3 linked regions of the Rattus norvegicus genome follow. The protein of the gene in region 2 purifies or fractionates together with the protein of the main gene of each other region. This does not show direct contact. Links are inferred from orthologs where the notes say so. Each region holds a gene or a part of one and is shown on either strand. Other genes may lie near its edges.

What was found.
Region 1: the proteins of Sf3a1 (region 2) and Phf5a purify together in Homo sapiens (affinity purification with mass spectrometry; 3 studies listed by BioGRID and IntAct, with this or other methods). This does not show direct contact. The link is inferred for Rattus norvegicus from reciprocal best matches to the Homo sapiens genes SF3A1 and PHF5A.
Region 3: the proteins of Sf3a1 (region 2) and Snrpd2 fractionate together in Homo sapiens (co-fractionation; 3 studies listed by BioGRID and IntAct, with this or other methods). This does not show direct contact. The link is inferred for Rattus norvegicus from reciprocal best matches to the Homo sapiens genes SF3A1 and SNRPD2.

What each region holds. Positions count from the first base shown.
Region 1 is NC_086025.1:115,261,929-115,267,357, forward strand, and holds the start of Phf5a (PHD finger-like domain-containing protein 5A), read right to left. Parts: upstream 3,247-5,429; coding exon 3,195-3,246; intron 2,567-3,194; coding exon 2,543-2,566; intron 2,041-2,542; coding exon 1,874-2,040; intron 1-1,873. Other genes in the region: Aco2 (aconitate hydratase, mitochondrial precursor), read left to right, coding at 3,892-3,927.
Region 2 is NC_086032.1:83,252,721-83,258,431, forward strand, and holds the start of Sf3a1 (splicing factor 3A subunit 1), read left to right. Parts: upstream 1-2,292; 5' UTR 2,293-2,382; coding exon 2,383-2,445; intron 2,446-2,967; coding exon 2,968-3,089; intron 3,090-5,711. Other genes in the region: Ccdc157 (coiled-coil domain-containing protein 157), read right to left, coding at 2,056-2,292. UniProt on the Homo sapiens protein: Component of the 17S U2 SnRNP complex of the spliceosome, a large ribonucleoprotein complex that removes introns from transcribed pre-mRNAs.
Region 3 is NC_086019.1:87,924,016-87,929,654, reverse strand, and holds Snrpd2 (small nuclear ribonucleoprotein Sm D2), read right to left. Parts: upstream 3,247-5,639; 5' UTR 3,173-3,246; coding exon 3,171-3,172; intron 1,882-3,170; coding exon 1,702-1,881; intron 678-1,701; coding exon 503-677; 3' UTR 396-502; downstream 1-395. Other genes in the region: Qpctl (glutaminyl-peptide cyclotransferase-like protein), read left to right, coding at 3,871-4,080, 4,542-4,685. UniProt on the Homo sapiens protein: Plays a role in pre-mRNA splicing as a core component of the spliceosomal U1, U2, U4 and U5 small nuclear ribonucleoproteins (snRNPs), the building blocks of the spliceosome.

The DNA.
Region 1 (5,429 bases), on a different chromosome or scaffold from region 2:
AAGGTGTAGTCAGACAGCCTGGGACAGGTTAGAAAAACAATAACCTCTACTTACATGGTATAAGTGATTACATCTACAAGCTACCTACACTATTCATGGGAATTTAAAGGGCTATATTCTGCCTTTTTCTGGGGGGGGGGGGCGCAGACAGGGTTTTTGTGTAGCCCTGGCTGTCCTTGAATTTGCTCTGTACAACCAGTCATAGGATTTGCCTGCCTCTGCCTCCCAGGTACTGGAATTAAAGGCATGCACCACCATGCTCAGCTGCCTTATTTTGCTTAGGTACTCCAGCATCTTCAATTAGTCCAGTGAGACTATACTCTACTCATTTCTATTCTGTCACAAGAGAAACAATGCCTTGTTGCTAGTAGTGTTCTAAGAACAGGGTTAAACTTGCTTATAGCCTTATTTACAAAGCCCTCAATGAACCCTGCTCAGGGAACAGAGCCTTGTCTACAAACCCTCACTGAACCTTGCTCAGGGAACGAAGCTACTTATACATTTCCTCTGCACACCACACAGACAAGAAACACAAACATAAGCTCAGCAACCAATTCACTACCTGACACCATTCTTTTTACTTAAAGCTGGTGTCACCTATAACTATCCCTAACACAACTTGGCCACCACAACTACCTAAACTGTCCTTTACCACAGAGGATTTAAGAGAACCAAGTTGGGCAAGTAATCCTATTACCTAAGAGTTTGGCTGAGGCAGGAGGACTGCTGTGAGTTTGAGGCCTGGACTACATAATGAGCACAAGACGGGCCTAGGCCACAGAACAAAACTACCCCAGTAGCAGCTACACCCCACATCCCTGCCCAACGAGAACTACTGTGTGGTGGGTGTAATGTCTGCACTCAGAAAGCTGAAGCAGGAGGATCTTCAGTTCCAGGCCATTTTGAGACACACTGACACTTATGTTTTTGAGGAAGACAAAGATAGGCAGAACCACTGAGTGCCTCCTACACCCCGCCTATGTCCTCGTTAGTACACAGACATAGGATCTTGTATGTGACTAAGAATAAAAAAGACCTGCCAAGACGACTCAGCAGGGATCCTGGCTAACTTTATGTCAGTCCGACACAAACCAGGGTCATTTTAAAAGAGGAAAGCTCAACTGAGAAAGACCCACTAGATTGACCAGTGGCACATTTTCTTGATAAATGACAGGGAAGAGCCCAGCCCATCGGGGGCAGTGCTACTCATGGCTGGTGGTACTGGAGGCTGTAAGAAAGCAGGCGGAGCAAACCATAAGGGAGAAAGCCAGTAAGCAGTGATCTGCCATGGCCTTTGCTTCAGTTCCTGCCACAACTTCACTGGATGACAGACTGGAACCTGGAGTTGTAAACTTTTTCCCTTTCTGAAGCTGCTTTTAATCATATTATATCATCAATAAGAAACCCGAGGGGTTGGGGATTTGGCTCAGTGGTAGAGCGCTTGCTTAGCAAGCGTAAGGCCCTGAGTTTGGTCCTCAGCTCCAAAAAAAAAAACTATCTGAGACAGCAGGGAAACATACTTGCCAAGCCTAACAATTTGCATCCAACCACCCAGACCAGAGTATAAAGGGAGAATGGACTTCCACAGGTTGTCCTCTGATGGCTACACATGCACATGCCCATACACTCACTGGACCAGAGAAAAGTTCTCCAAACTTGGTACTTATAAAGACTTGTTTCTCTTCATCTGCCCTGGATTCAGAGTAACAACTCTTTATCAGGCCATACTGAGTTTGGCTCACAATCTCCAAGAAATTACCTAAATAACTAGCTGAACATTGCAATCTCCACAGATCAGAACAGATGGCCACGGGTGGCGAAATGGTTCAAAGTAAAGGAAGAAAGACCAGGTGGGAAGCCCGCCTATACTCACATCCTTCTCCTGAATGGTGCACTCTTTACAATAGTAGGCATCAGAGACTCCGGGACCTCCACAGATCACGCAGCGGCCCTGGTAGGATCCATAGTTACACTCATCACATATGCGAACCAGGGTACAGGGACGCACGTAGGAATCGCAGATCACACATTTGCCATCACCTGCAGAGACAGAACTGGGTTACAGTCAACAGCAATTACTTCCCTAAGATCTTTCCTCTGCCCTACGAGGGAAATAACTGTGACTTTAGGACCTTCTTCTATCTCGACAGCATAAGCCTTATCTTGTATTCACCTCAGTTAACTAATGCATGCAAAGCGTTTGGAATATTGTCTGGGAGCTTTTAAATCTATGTAGTTGTTGTCAACAAACTGCATGTCCTTTTTGCACACACATTGGGCTGGGAAGGTCCCCATTACTCTGACAAATCTTACTGTCCAAAAGTAGACTCTTTTTTTCCCTAAAACCTAAATATGAAGTATTAAAAATTGCAAGCTTAAGTGGGAAGATGGTGGTGGTGGGGGGAGGTCTTTGGCTGCAGCCAGGTATTCTGTGTTCTTTGCAGCCTGGTATATCCATTTAAGGCTTTTTTTGTGTTCCTCTGGAATTGATGGCTCTTCAAAGAGTATAGAGGCAAGGTGTGATGGGGCATGTTCCGCTTACATTTTTCACACAGTCTTCCGATAGCTGTAAGATTAAAGATGGTAAAACATGTTGTTAAAATTAAGGTTGTGACGTATCAGGAAAGTTTTCTGTCAAGCTGAGTACAGAGAATGGGGCAGGTAGCAATGACTAAAGCGAGGCGTAAAGGATCGCCGTCTTATTCTCCTTTCTCCATTGTCCCCGACCCTATACTTTTTTGACACAGAATCCCACTGTGTAGCTTGAGTCAGCCTGGAACTTCTTTTAAGCTCAGGCCAGTTTCGAATTGACAGCAATCTTCCAGCCTTCTGCCTCCCTGGTGCTGGGATTATGAGCTACCATTCCAGGCCAGTGCCCCTAAATTATGCTTTACACCAAAGCCATGTCAAAAAAAAAAAAGCTGTCCGGAAACCCCCCTAAAATCCAAAGCAATCTAGAACGGCTTCTCCAGACTTGGCACAGACGCTCCCGTCTGCCTCAGGCTCGGAGACGCGCGTTCCTAACCTCTTATAAGAAGCCACAACTGGGTGCGCGCTTCTAGAATACCCAGGGACCGTAAGGCGCGAAACGTGGAGCCTCCAAACCAAAGCCCTAAAGAGAAGGTGAAAGTCCCAAGTCCCCCACTTTCTAATACCATCCCACCCAAACAAAAGGGGGCAGGCCTCCAACTCACCTACACCAGCCTGCTTGCGGCAGAAAATCAAATCTGGATGATGTTTAGCCATAACTCTTTTCCAAGCCCGCGGCCGGAAGCGTAGGGAACTTCCGCCCGACCTTTAACCTACACCGTTCCTACTTCCACTCCTCTGTGATTGGCCATCAAGCTGTCCGTCAGCCTTTGTCCTCGAGGGCACCAAATCTCGCTGACTCTCGTGAGAGTTTCCTCGCCAGGCCCTAGCAGGTGCACCAAAGGTTTTGAATAAAATTCTTTTTTCTTCTAGATTTGAACTCATAAACTAAAATTTGTTCTTGGATAAAAAAAATCCTACATATGTTGCTTCTTGTGTTGGAGTTTGAGGCCAGGGCTTCTTGCATGCTTCCTCAAAGTATGTGGGTTTGGGAGTGTTGTCTTTCATGGAGTGAACGATGACCTTGAACTCCTGACTCCGCTTTAGCTTCCACTACCCAAGTGCAAAGGTGACAGCATTGCGCCGAACGCCAAGCTGGCAGTTCCTCCGCAGCTTTTCCTGCCACGCCCGGTTCTTGTCATGTAAGCCCCGCCCACTGAGCTCTCTGGACTCTGGCCTAGGGAGGAAGGCCCCACCACCAGGGTGACGCGTCTCTCTATCAGCCACGCCCCCTTCCCAATGCTTTAAGAGCGCCAGCTGTCACGTCACTTTCACGCGACCTCATCTTTGTCAGTGCACAAAATGGCGCCTTACAGCCTACTGGTCACCCGGCTGCAGGTGAGCGAGCTCAGAGTTGTGGGTTTACGGGGGCGGGGAGCCTCCTGCCTTGCCTGCGGCTGTAGGCGAGGTCAGGCGAGGCGGGCTCGACCGGGGCTGAGTTTTCGATCACCTGTCGCGGTTGCAGGCCCAGCGCCCTTGTCCGTTCTTGCCTTGTCCTAGGTCAAGGCGTCCCTGGCACAGTCAGTTCCAAGTCCCTGTCCCCGCCCGCTGGGAAGCTTGAGTCTAAGCAGCTGCAGCCTGGTCAAGGGCGGAGGCACTCCTTGTTTTCTAAGGGCTGAATTCTCTGCTCCCCCAGGGTGGTTTTCTGTTCCTCAAGGTGAAGACAAGGTGATTGGGGGACGCGGTGGTTGTGGGTTCCTCTAAGCCGAGTTCTTGAAGCCTTCACGTCTCATCTGTAGCATAGACTTGCTCGCCTTATGTATCCGTGGTTTCCGGGCCTGGAGTCTGCAGCAGCTATATCCCATATATCCCTTCGAGGACACTCGGGGTCATAGATGCAAGAAGGAGTATTCTGGGCCCCACCATTAATAAATAGTCGCGATAACAGTGCCTTCTTACCTTTACACTAGATGTCAAGACTGTTTACTAATGTTACAGTATGTGATCAGAAGTCATAGAGTCAGATAACTTTTTTTCCAACTCGATAGATGGAAAAGCTGGGAAAAAAATAGACGAAGTAGTGGCTTTCATGCTGTCACTAAAGTGTCATAGCCTGAGCTTTGACGCTGCAGGCCCTCTCTTCTTCTTGTTCATGGCAGCCTAATGTCACAAAACTTTCTGAACCAGGGTGTGATCGTTTGCATTTGTCAGAATACAGAATCAAGTGTTTTGAGGTCACAGTTAGTTGCTTTCCAGATACTAGGCAGAAAGACGAGAAGACTGAACAGTTTGACCTTGACTGTTAGGAGACATCTAGAAAATTGACTATGCCTGTCAGATGGTTTTCCACTCCTAGCCTGACAGCTCTAGGAAGGTATAAGGTTAAGTTTAAAGTGTGTATTTTTCTCAATAAAAAGAAAGCAATAAAATACTTGTAGACATTTTTCTGGCAACATTTTATGATTACTTTTGTGAATTTGCTTTGGACCAACATTGAACATTAGAATTAATAATTTTAAAAATTACATGCTGTACTCTCAGAAGGCATTATCATTTGAAGTTTTCTTTATCACATTACTTAAAATCAAACTGTAAAATCAAACTCATTTATCTAAACAAATCTTTTGACTTTTGGGCAACGTAAAGGATTTGCAGCTAAACTGTCTCTTTGGTTCTTTTGATTCTTTAGATAGCATGATGAGTTCTGTGCTGACCCTGCTATCCTATGACTTGGTGGAGTCGGGCAAAGAATATTTAATAGGATAAATGACCTTTGAGTTTGTAAGAAAGGAATTATGTCACATTTGGACCTTGGAAAGTATGAGTGTTAGAATGGTGTAGAAAGAGATCTGGGCTATAGTTCATGTCCTCCCATGATCCATGACTTTGTACGTATAACT
Region 2 (5,711 bases):
AACCAACATTATCATGAAAGGGGCAGCAGCTAGTAATGTTACTTGATGCTTTGTGATTCCCAAAGAAGGGTAGGAGCCTTTCCTTCTCTCTACTCAACCCTCGAGTCCCCCTCTGTCAAACACCTAACGCCATGTCTGAAGTCCATGCTTGTTTATGTCCACTGAGATTCGGTCACCACTAAGAAAAGAAAACAGTTTTGAAACTCTAAAACCATCTACATGGCAATTTCCAGCCTCTGACTGTCTTAGGTAGGGTTTTACTACTGTGAACAGAAAACATGACCAAGGCAACTCTTATAAGGATGACATTTAATTGGGGCTGGCTTACAGGTTCAGAGGTTCAGTCCATTATCATCAAAGCAGGAGCATGGCCGAGTCTAGGAAGGCATGGGGCCGGAGGAGCTTAGAGTTCCATTTCTTTTTCCAAAGGCAGCTAGCAGAAGACTGGCTCCCAAGCAGCCAGAAGGAAGGCATTAAAGCCCATGCCCACAGTGGCACACCTACTCTAACAAGGCAACACCTACTCCATCCAACAAGGCCACACACACTTCCTAATAGTGCCACTCCCTGGGCAAAGCATATACAAACCATCACATTCCACTCCCTGACTCCCATAGGCTTGTTCAAACATATGGGAACCATACCTAAATATAGCATAATGCAAAATACATTTAGTCCAACATCAAGAGTCCCTATACTGTACAGCACTCTCAACCATGTTAAAAAAAGAAAGGTCCAAAGTTCAAAGTTTCTTCTAAGATTCAAGCAGGTTTTTTTAACTGTAATCCCATATAAAGTAAAAAATACTGGACCGAAGCAAGATAGAAAACCAGTTGGGCAAACTCCAAAACCCATGTCTCCAGGTCCAATGCCAGAGCATCCTTCAGATCTCTAGCTCCTTTCACCCTTGTTGAGTGCTGTTGGCCCATGTGGCCCTCAATGGCAGCACACTTCATTCTCTTGGGCTGGTTCCACTGTTAGCAGCTTTTCTCAGCAGGTAACTGAGAAAAGGACTCTGGCATCTCTAACAGCTTGGGGTCTCCAAGGCAACTTCAACTTTACAGCTTCTTATTCCAATGTATGGGGTCCACAGAACATCTTCTGGGCTCCTCCAAAGGGCTCGGGTCACCTCTCCAGCTCTGCCCTCCGTAGCACTCTAGGCTCTGGTTGACTCCACTCCCCTGCTGCTGCTGTTCCTGGTGACCAGCCCATGGTACTGGCATCTCCAATATACTGGAGTCTTCCATAGCAACTAGGCTTCACCAATAGCCTCTCATAGGCTCTCCTCATGGTCTCAAGCCTCAACTACTTTGGATGACTTCCTCAGTCCTGGGCCATCAACTGTAACTGCATCTTCACCAATGGCCTTCCTTGGCTCTCACAGTGCCAAGCCTCAGCTGCTCTTCATGACCCCTTCACGTCTTCAAAACCAGTAGTACCCTGGATGACTCTTACACATTATTAAGTACAGCTTCTTTGTGCTCTCAGAAAACACTTCCCAGAAGATTTCACCTCAGTGATTCTGGTCTCTTCTTAATCCCTACTAATTTCTTAGCTCCAGATAAGAAGCATCAATTGTCCCAGTAACCCCTTCTATTCTTGACTCTAAAGTTAAGGCCATGTGGTAAAGCTGTTGAATTCTGCTGCCTGCTGGGGCTGGCCGCCCTTTATTCTATTACCAGCTTTCTGTTTTTCAACTCCCTCACTGCCTACCCTTGACTGTCCTGCAATTTGCTCAGTAGATTGACCTTGAACTCAGAGATCTGTATAGCTTTGTCTCCTGAGACTAAAAAATGTTAGCACCATGTCCTGGGCTCTGCAAGGAGGTATCAGGAGGAGGTAATGCTGAACCGAAAAACAGGTCTAAAGGTGTAGTTAAGTGGGGCTTTATGGCAACGGGTCTAATGGGAGAAGAATTCTTCAAAATGACAGGCCAAACAGAAAACAAAACGAAGGCAGGGGTTCGGGGTGTAGGGGTTAGGGGGGTTGCTGGGGTTACAGAGGAACCGGCCAGGGTCGGGAGGGGAGTTCAGCAAATGATGTAGAATGGCTTACCTGTCTCCGGCGTCGCAGCCTCAGCTCTGTGTCTGGCAAGCTCACAGAACTTCCTCCGGAGCGCCTGCGGCTCCAGGGATCCCTCGAAACTCTAAAGCAGGGCGCCCAGGACGCTGCCATAGCAACGGCGTACCGTGCCATCGTGCACGCGGGGCGGGGCTGGAAGTGAGACACGGCGAGGGGGCGGGGCCGGAAGTGCCTCCGCGGCTTTTCTCTGGGTCGTCGCCATCTTGCCATTGAGTTGGAGACTTCGTGTGGTGAGCTTAACCTTGTCGCCGTACCGGTTGTCCACACCGAGGCGGACTGGCAGCCCTGAGCGTCGCAGTCATGCAGGCCGGACCCGTGCAGGCGGTACCCCCGCCGCCGCCAGTAGTCACTGAGCCCAAACAGGTACCGTGCCCCGTGCTCCTCCGCCTGCAGTCCTGTTGTAGGCCTCGTTCCTCCACTCCCGCGCGGGCGCTGTGGCACTTCTGCTGGAAGCACAGGCCACCCTGAAGGACTTGGTGGGACTGCAAGTCCCAGGAGTCAGCGCGCCGCGTTGCCTTCTGGTCTCAAAAAGATTTCCCTAAACCGGACTTTTCAAAACTAGCCTGCGGACTTGAGCCTCGGCTTCCCCTGGGGGCTTATTTGAACCACGAAACCTCCATTCTAAGGAGGAGAGCCAAGAAAGCCATTCTTTTCCCTAGATTAGGAATGGTTGTATAAATACCGTATGGTTAAGAAAGCTTGCTTTGTTTTTAACTGCTTCCCAATGCTAGCTTCTTGGATGCTAACCCAAGAGAGTCTGCAGTCTGCAGGACACAGTCCTGTCAGTGGTATCATGGAGAAACGCTGAGGGCTGGTGTAGTTTTTATGATCTCCTAATCCAAGCCAGGGACTTGAAGACCTTACTCCCTTTTTCTGTTTTCACAGCCAAATGAAGAAGAAGCATCATCAAAGGAGGATTCCACCCCTTCCAAGCCAGTGGTGGGGATTATTTACCCTCCTCCAGAGGTCAGGAATATCGTCGACAAGACCGCCAGTTTTGTGGCCAGGTAACAGCTGCTGCTGCACAGTGGGTCAGGGGAATTGTAGTATAAAGGGCTTTTGAATCGGGCACCATGGGGTGTTTTAGAGGCTCTAGCTTAGGCTTCCAAAACCACAGTAGAGCAGTGAGGTAGGCGATAGACAGGACTGGTATCATTGACATACCATGATAGTAATCACAGTGAAAGCCCCATCTAGCTGTATATTTCTGCTTCCAAAACAAATCTGAGGAATTCCTGGTAGCACCTTTGTGACTGATACTGTGTGTATGCTGTGTGTTTGAGCTGCTGGCCTGAGGAAATGAGTTGATTTTTCTCATTGTGAAAGGGCTACTTTCCACAGAGACTCAAATGATCGGTTACAGATGAGCTAAGAGCAAGCTGTTAAAACTGGTCAGGATTTCTCTCAGCCTCTTCATCCCACACACTTCTACATCCTTGGATGCTATTTTCTGAGGACCACTTGACTCCCAACGGTCAACACGTCCCCTGACTTAGGGCATTTATAGAGAGAGAGTATTCTTTTGGCAACCAGCATCGATATCCAGTCTGCAGAGTTTGGTTTGTCCTTAGAATCCTTAAAAAAGAAAAATCCTATTGCCACACTTAAAAATGAGGTGATCTCACCAGCAGTCTGGATTTCTGTCTTTTCTTGAACCAGACTGCAATGTTTGGTTCCAAACTTCCTAATAAAGTGAAGCACCTCTCTAATAAAGATTCCGATTGATATATTTTCCCATCACTGGACAGGCTTTAATTACCTTGGATTTTCACTTAAAAGATGCCCTAAGATAGGGCATTGAGTGTTGTGTGTGATTGGCTAGTATTTCACAGCAACCCTTTTCCTAATAATAATGCATAAGGAATAAGTGCAGTCTTACTGTGAGGGCAACTCCTGCCCGCTGTTGTCACCGTTCACCGTTCATTAGTCCTTTGCCCTTGGCACCCGTTTTTAAATACGGTAATAACACAAGTACTGTCATGTCCCCATTCTCTTTGCATGCTAAACTGTAAACATTTCCTAATTACCTTTTCCTCCTGCTGTATGCTTTCTATGGCGAGGGTGCAGGGTGTCCAGGCTGTCTTCTCTTTGAGACTGTTTCCAGTGTTTCCACTTGGTCAGTGAAGCTGTACGAGGAGTTTGAACATTACCTTTCCCTCTTAGATAGTTTCTTTAGAAGAAAACTGAAACAATAGTGATTAGGAGAACATGGAAAGCTTCAGGGGTTGGGGAGACAGCTTAGTTCATTCAAGTTCCTGTCACAAGAGTAAACAAGAGCTTGAGTTTGGATCCCATGGTGTATAACCCACAGATACCCATGTTAAAGCAAGATTGAGCAATGGTTACATCTGGTAACCTCAGTACTGGAGAATAGAGACTGACAGATTCCTGGAGCTCAGTGGCCAGCAAATTGCTGTGCTTCATATTAACTAAGGTGGGGCCAGTGTATTCATGTATTCTGAAGGCAGGAGCAGGTTGATCTCTGTGCGTTTCGGGCCACCCTAGTCTACACAGCATTCTGATGAGCCAGGGATGCATGGACCCTATCTAAAATAAATAGGTAGATAAATCTAAATAAGGCAGGAAGTGATTGGGGAAGACAATGGACATGAGTATCTGGCCTCTGGGTATGGGTGCACATAAGTGTGCACTTAGAAACATCTCAGTTTCCCAAGTAGCTTTCTGATAATTGTGTCATCCTTTGCCTCCACAGCAAAAAAAAAAAAAAAAAGACTGACCAAGTTCTCTTAAAAATAAATACTTGTTACTGGACATAGTGATACATACCTGTAATCTTGGTGCTAGCAAGGAATGTTAGAGAGACTAGCCTGGCTACATGGTGGGCTCTATTTTAATGAAGGGAAATGGGAGCTGGAGAAGTGGCTCAGAAGTTAAGACCACTTTCTGCTCCTACATAGGACCTGAGTTTGGCTCCCAGGACCCATGTCAGGTAACTCACAGCTACAGAGTCTGAATACCTGCATGCATGCCCTTTAATATGCACTCGTGCACACAGAGTCAATTTTCTTTTTTTTTTTTTTTTAAGAAAAGGAAAATGAAGTGGATACCTTCAAGTTCCATAATGTGTGAGTTTAAGGCCAGCCTAGGCTTGTGAGTTTTTTATCAAGGCTGAAAAAAAATAAATGGGTTGATTGTGTAGCTTAGTGGTAGAGTGAGTATATGTCTCCATGTATAGGACATGAGTTCTGTTTCTAGTAGTGTAAACATCTCACCATGTTTCCAGATGGGTTTTTATCCTTGGTGATCATTTTTGTAGGAATTCTGAAATCTGACCTTGAGATGGCTCAATGGGGTAATGTTTGCAACACAAGTAAAGGTAGGCCACTCCTCAGAGCTTGCTGATTGGCCGGCTTGCTAACATAACCATAGTGGTGAGCTCCAGGTTCAGTGCAAGACCCTGCATCAAAGAATGAGAATGACAGTGATAGAGGAGGGTACTTACTCAGTGTTGGCCTCTGGTCTCCACGTGACCTGACCATAAACATGTGCATGTTCTTCCCCTACCTTCTCATGCTTTACAGTGAAGGGACAGGTCACAATCTTGGTCTTGGAGAGAGCCGGTATTCAGGTCTCTGCTAGGCCACATGCTCAGGAGGCAGGCAGTGGGT
Region 3 (5,639 bases), on a different chromosome or scaffold from region 2:
CCCTATGGGCACAGAGAACAGACGTATCCAGACCAGACACCCATACTGCTTTGTATGCATTTAAGGAGGGCAGATAATGCTGACCTCTAGCCCAGATCTCCTGAATTTCGTGTTTAGAATTACCTGAGAGGGCAGGGACAGAGATACAGATGGACAGAGTAGTGGGTAGGACAGAGGGCCCTGTGTACAGTCCAGAAAACAGCAAGGTCCTTCAACAAGCCCCTTAAGTAGGACCCCCTTTCTCACCTGTATCCGCACCCCGCCACACAATACACAAAAGTCAAATTTGGCGGTCTACTTGGCAGTCAGGGCAGTCATATGCCCCAGCACTCAGAGGCCCTGTCCTAGTGCCTCTCTCTCTAAGACCCAAGGGCAGAGAAGACCACTAGAAAACATAAAAAACAAAAAGCACAGGGTTTTATTTCTAGCTCATTGGGCAGGGCTCTGCGGGACTTGGCTGGGCAGGGAGCAGGCTCTCAGCGGGCTGAGGCTGGCCTCTAGTTTACTTGCCAGCGATGAGCGGGTTCCGCAGCACCACAATGACTGAGTCCCCGCGCAGGAACATCTTGGAGATGTAGCGGTCCTTGTTGACAGGCTTGGACTTCTTCTTGCCCTTGCCGCTCTTGGGGACCTCAGTCCACATCTCCTTCACATTTTCCAGCACCATGTTGCAGTGCCTGATGGGGTAAAGGGTGGAGGAAAAAGCCAGAGTGAGGGGGACATTCTGAATGTGTGAACCCTCCAGCAGCAGGCATAGGGACGGAGTTCAGGTTCCACAGTGGGGATGGGCAGGCTTCAAGGTGTGATCTCAGCCCCATCTTAAGTGTCCCTTCTGTGCCTCAGTTTCCCCCTTCTTGAAATGGAAACAGTCTACTTCATGGGGCTGATGTGAAGATTGGATGAAAGAAGCACTTAGGACCCCGGTACACAGTAAAGGTCACCAAAATGGCCCTGGCTCTGCAGTTAACTCTAACTCTGAGAGAAGCATTAGCTCCCTCCAAACCTTAAGTTCTGGGGTTAGACATGGTTCCCAACACGTGCACTCCAGTGCCTCATGGCCCTGTCCTCATGCAGGTGGACATGTGCTCACACTTGGATCAGTTCATTCCACGAATGCTTGCTTGAGGACAGTGACGATGAGCAAAGTACAATGCCAGATGTGTAGGACCACGTCACAAGGCAACTTCCATGCTAACTAAAACAAGGCAGGAGGGTATGCTTCGCCCCTGTAATCCTAGCGCTTGGGAGATGGTAGCAAGAGGATCAGAAGCATAAGGTTAGCCTCTGCTACATCTGTAGCCAGCCCAGGCTACATAGTTAAAGACCCTGCCTCAAAACAAACTAGAAAGCAGTAGAAGATATTTGACATTGATGTCTGGCCTACAGAGGAACAAACCAAACATCTTAATTCCTGTCCCTCCTCCTGCCGGGGATCTGATGACTTCTGAAGGTATTAGACATGTCCACAGTACACAGACAGACTCACCCGCAGACAAAACGCCCAAACACATAAGATAAAAAAAAAAAAGCCAAGCACCCCCACTTTCTAATTTTTTGAGCTAGCTGGGTCTTGCCCTGTGACCCTGGCTGGCTCCAACTGACAGTGATCCCCTTGAGTGCTGAGACTAAAGGCACTTTGTCACCTTGCCCACCTTATTACGACAATTCTTCTCAAATGACCTTCCCCAAGACAATGCCCACCTGTCAAAGGCCTTCACCCGGCCCAGGAGCTTCTTGTTGTTTCGACAGTTAATGAGCACTTGCGTGTTGTTTTTGACCGACTGTGTGAGCACCGAGAGGGGACCTGTGTTGAATTCCTCCTCCTCCCGCTTCTGCAGCTCCTCTGGGGTCATCTCACTCTTGGGTTTATTGAGGAGACTCCTGGATAGAGAACCCGGGGGGTGAGACGGGTTCAGGTTGGAAGCATAAGTGACCAAAGCTACATTGTCCAGTGTCTCCCCAGCCTGGCCCCCAAATGCCCTTCCTGGTACAGTCTTCTCTGGAGGCAGGAGAGACATTTCCAAGTTAGCCTGCTCCAGCTCATTAACCAAACCTCGTCCAGCCACTGTTGACCTTGAATTCTCAATTCTCCTGACTCCATCACCCAAGGTCTGAGATTACAGGGGGCTCACCATCATGCCTGGCACCTGATTCTTTCAAACCTCACTCTGTCGTCTTATCTTGTCATCTGCTTCCATGATATGTCCAAAAATTTGGCCATTTCTCTTCCATCCCACCCCACAACAGTGTCTCCCTGTATAAATAGACCTGCCCCTGGAACTCAGACTTGTCTGTCTCTGCCTCCAGGATACTGGGGTTACATCTAGTCTGTGTGTGGCTGAGGACCAAACCCAGGGCCCACAGTAGGTAAGTACTCTGTCCACTAAGCTAAATCCCCAGCCCAAGTATTGGGCTTTCAATGCCCAATACTTCTGTGCTACCTACTGGTGTTATTTCTTTCCTACTCAATTCTCCATTCACACTCCTGATCATCTAAGACATACTGTATGTACTTGTTTATTACTCTATGGCTTTCCTATTGGATTCTTTTTATAAGCCCTGAGAGATTTTTTTTCCTTGGTAGCAAGGACCTTCTATTTACCATGTGTCTAACTTACAGTCTACATAATATCCGCTCAATGAATAAACCATTGTAGTAGCCTGCTACTCTGACAATCTCTAATTAGGTTCAAAAGTCCTAATTTATCCTGGTTAAGTCCCATACGTCTCTATTTACTATTTCTAATAGTACTTCCTTCTCCGCCAAGCTCTTCATCCATTAAGACCACTTCTATATAAAATTACTATTACTTTTGTAAGCGGACACGCTATGAAGCTGGTCAAGGCTGACCACCAACTAGCGATACTCCTGACTCAGCCTCTCTAGGCTTGGGATTCTAGGCATGTGCCATCAGACTCAGTTTTTCCTTTACGGTTCATTTCCGCAAGCCTCGGTACCTAGAAGAGTCTTACACCCATTATGGAATAAAGCTGTCCCCTCTCCGGAACTCAAGAACCGAGGCCCCATGCCCGTTCTCAAATCCCTCAGAAGACATTATTTTTGCCCGAGAAACTCTACCCTCAGCTATGAGCACCCCATTTCGATTGTTATTTAGCTAAACCGTCCCCCTCCATCTTCGTGTCCCCGCCGAAGCCCGTCCCGGCCTCACATGGTGAAGGTTTCGCTAGCAGATCACTCCCGCCTCCAAGCGCGTTGCTTTAGCCTTTGGAGCACAGCAAGAGAAGGGCGGGACTTCCGTCTCCTGCGGCTGACTTCCGTCGACGCCTGCGCAATCACGACTGTGGGCGTGCCCTGTTACCATAGTGACTCTAAGGCTACGCTCTCCTGCAGAAAATGCCTATAGGGAGGATTTGAAGCCTCTGAGGATCACAATAGGTTGTCTGCTCATGCGGAAAATAAAACGGGGTCTGACTGAAATTGTTTTCCCGCCTAACTGTCTAGTTGGGAGAAGGAAAACGCAACCCGGTTTCCAAAATACCCGCCGACAATTTTCTTGAGGGCATGGCTTCAGGCAAACCAATCGGTTCCTTGTTTTAGGGATGGATGCCGCCCCTTTTTCCTTGAACCACAGTTTCTTGATCGACTTCCGTAAGGGGCGTGGCCCCGCGCCGGGGAAGGTTTCGTATATTCGGACACAGCTCATTGCCTGTTTCTCTCCCGTGGGGGCGGGCCTTAAGGTTTCCGCGCTCCCTTTTGGGTGGTGCGGCGCTTAGGAGAGCCAATCGCAATCGATTGGGGGAGGACGCAGTTACTGTGTTTCTTTATTGGCATTTGTAACCTCCGAGAGGCGAATCTTGGCCTAAACTCAAACCACCCTGCGGGGGGATTGGTTTCAGGGCAAAGCTGCCATGAGTCCGGCCAGCCGCGGGCGGTCTCGGCAGCGGCTCGGGGATCGCGGCCTCATGAAACCACCCTCACTTTCCAAGCGCCGTCTTCTGCCGCGGGTGCAGCTCCTGCCCCTGCTGCTGCTGGCGCTGGCCCTGGGCTTGGCTTTTTATATCGTCTGGAATAGCTGGCACCCTGGGGTTGAGGAGGTATCACGGAGCCGGGATCTGCGGGTAAGCCTTGGCTGGGGCCCAGCCAGCGTCATTTCCCTCTTTCCCTTCATATTGAGTCTCGGGTTAGCGTGGCCTTATCGTTTAGCCCTTGCCGCCTGTGCTATTTCTTTATCCATCACTTGAGCGTATGCCCCTTCCCAACAAAATAAGGTTTCAGGCTTGTTTTATGATTAGACCCCTCTGAAGAGGATGCATCCGCATAGAAACACTGGTAGATCTGAGCTCTGTGCCCAAACCATTTATTTAGAAGTCTCCATCACCCGTTTGCAATTTCTTCGTCAGGACTGCAGTAGGCTGGATCAGATTTGCTTTGAAGATTTCTCCCAATCTAGGAAATCTTTGGATGCTGGAGACTGCATCACCAAGAAGAATCAGCATTCCTAGTGGGCAACCGCGTCCGGGATAAGTTGGGAATGGGATCTTTTTCATTTTTCTTTCCCCCATCCCATTTCCCAACCAAGGTCCCGCTGATCGGAAGCCTTTCAGAAGCCAAGCTGCGGCTTGTGGTAGGGCAGCTGGATCCACAGCGTCTCTGGGGAACTTTTCTGCGTCCCTTGTTGATTGTACGACCCCCAGGTAGTCCTGGCAATCTCCAAGTGAGAAAGGTAAAGGGTTTTATTTTCAACCCCCAACTTCCTTTCCCCAGTCTGTCAGGAAATGGAACTCAGGCACCAAAGATCCCAAAACAGCCAGGAGGCAGACTAGGGATCTGATGGGGGTGGGGGGCAGGGATGGGGAGTGTGTGCGTGTGTTGGGGGTGTGTGTGGGGGAGTAGTGGTGGTGGGTGAACCAGACTAGATTTCTTGGTGGTGCACAAATCCCACACTATACGACCCCCACCAAACTTTTACCCTATACTAGGCAGAAGCAATGTACTGTCTAGTGAGATCAGAACTGATATGATCTCCATTATCAGATGAGGAAACTGAAGTTATTGTATTTTGTCCAAATCCCACAGCTGGTTGAAATTAAAATCCAAGAAGGTTGGCTTCAGAATTAGTGGTATAACATTGCTTTGCTGCCATTCAGATACTGTGTTTAGGATCCACCTTAGTTGGACTAACTTCTTAACCTCTTTGGGACTCAGTTTCCTCATCTTCAAAATGGGGTCAGTGACATCGTCGATTTCATAGGGATCCTAAAAAGCACAGAGTGGGAACTTTTCAAGAGGAAGTGAGAGCATGGCTCCACTTGCTTAGAACTCCTCCAATGTGAGGATGGAGGTGTGGCTCAACGGTAGAAGGCTTGCCTAGGATTCACCAGTGTGTAGCTGTGGCTGTGTAAGCATGCAGGAAATCCTGGGATCCATCCTCAGCACCATGGAGAGAGGCAGGAAGGGGAAAGGGTGGAAGTGAGTTAGTTGAAAGTTGGCCTACTCGTGATTTTGGAAGAATCAACATGAGGGGAGAGAGGGAGAGAGAAGGGAGGGTGCTTGGGTGGGGGTAGGTGGGTGGAGAGAGAAAGAGAGGAGAGAGAGAGAGAACTTTCTCCACACCTGGGTGTGGTGGTGGTCTGGGTCTATATATAATCCTATCACTCTGGAAGCAGAAACATGAGCT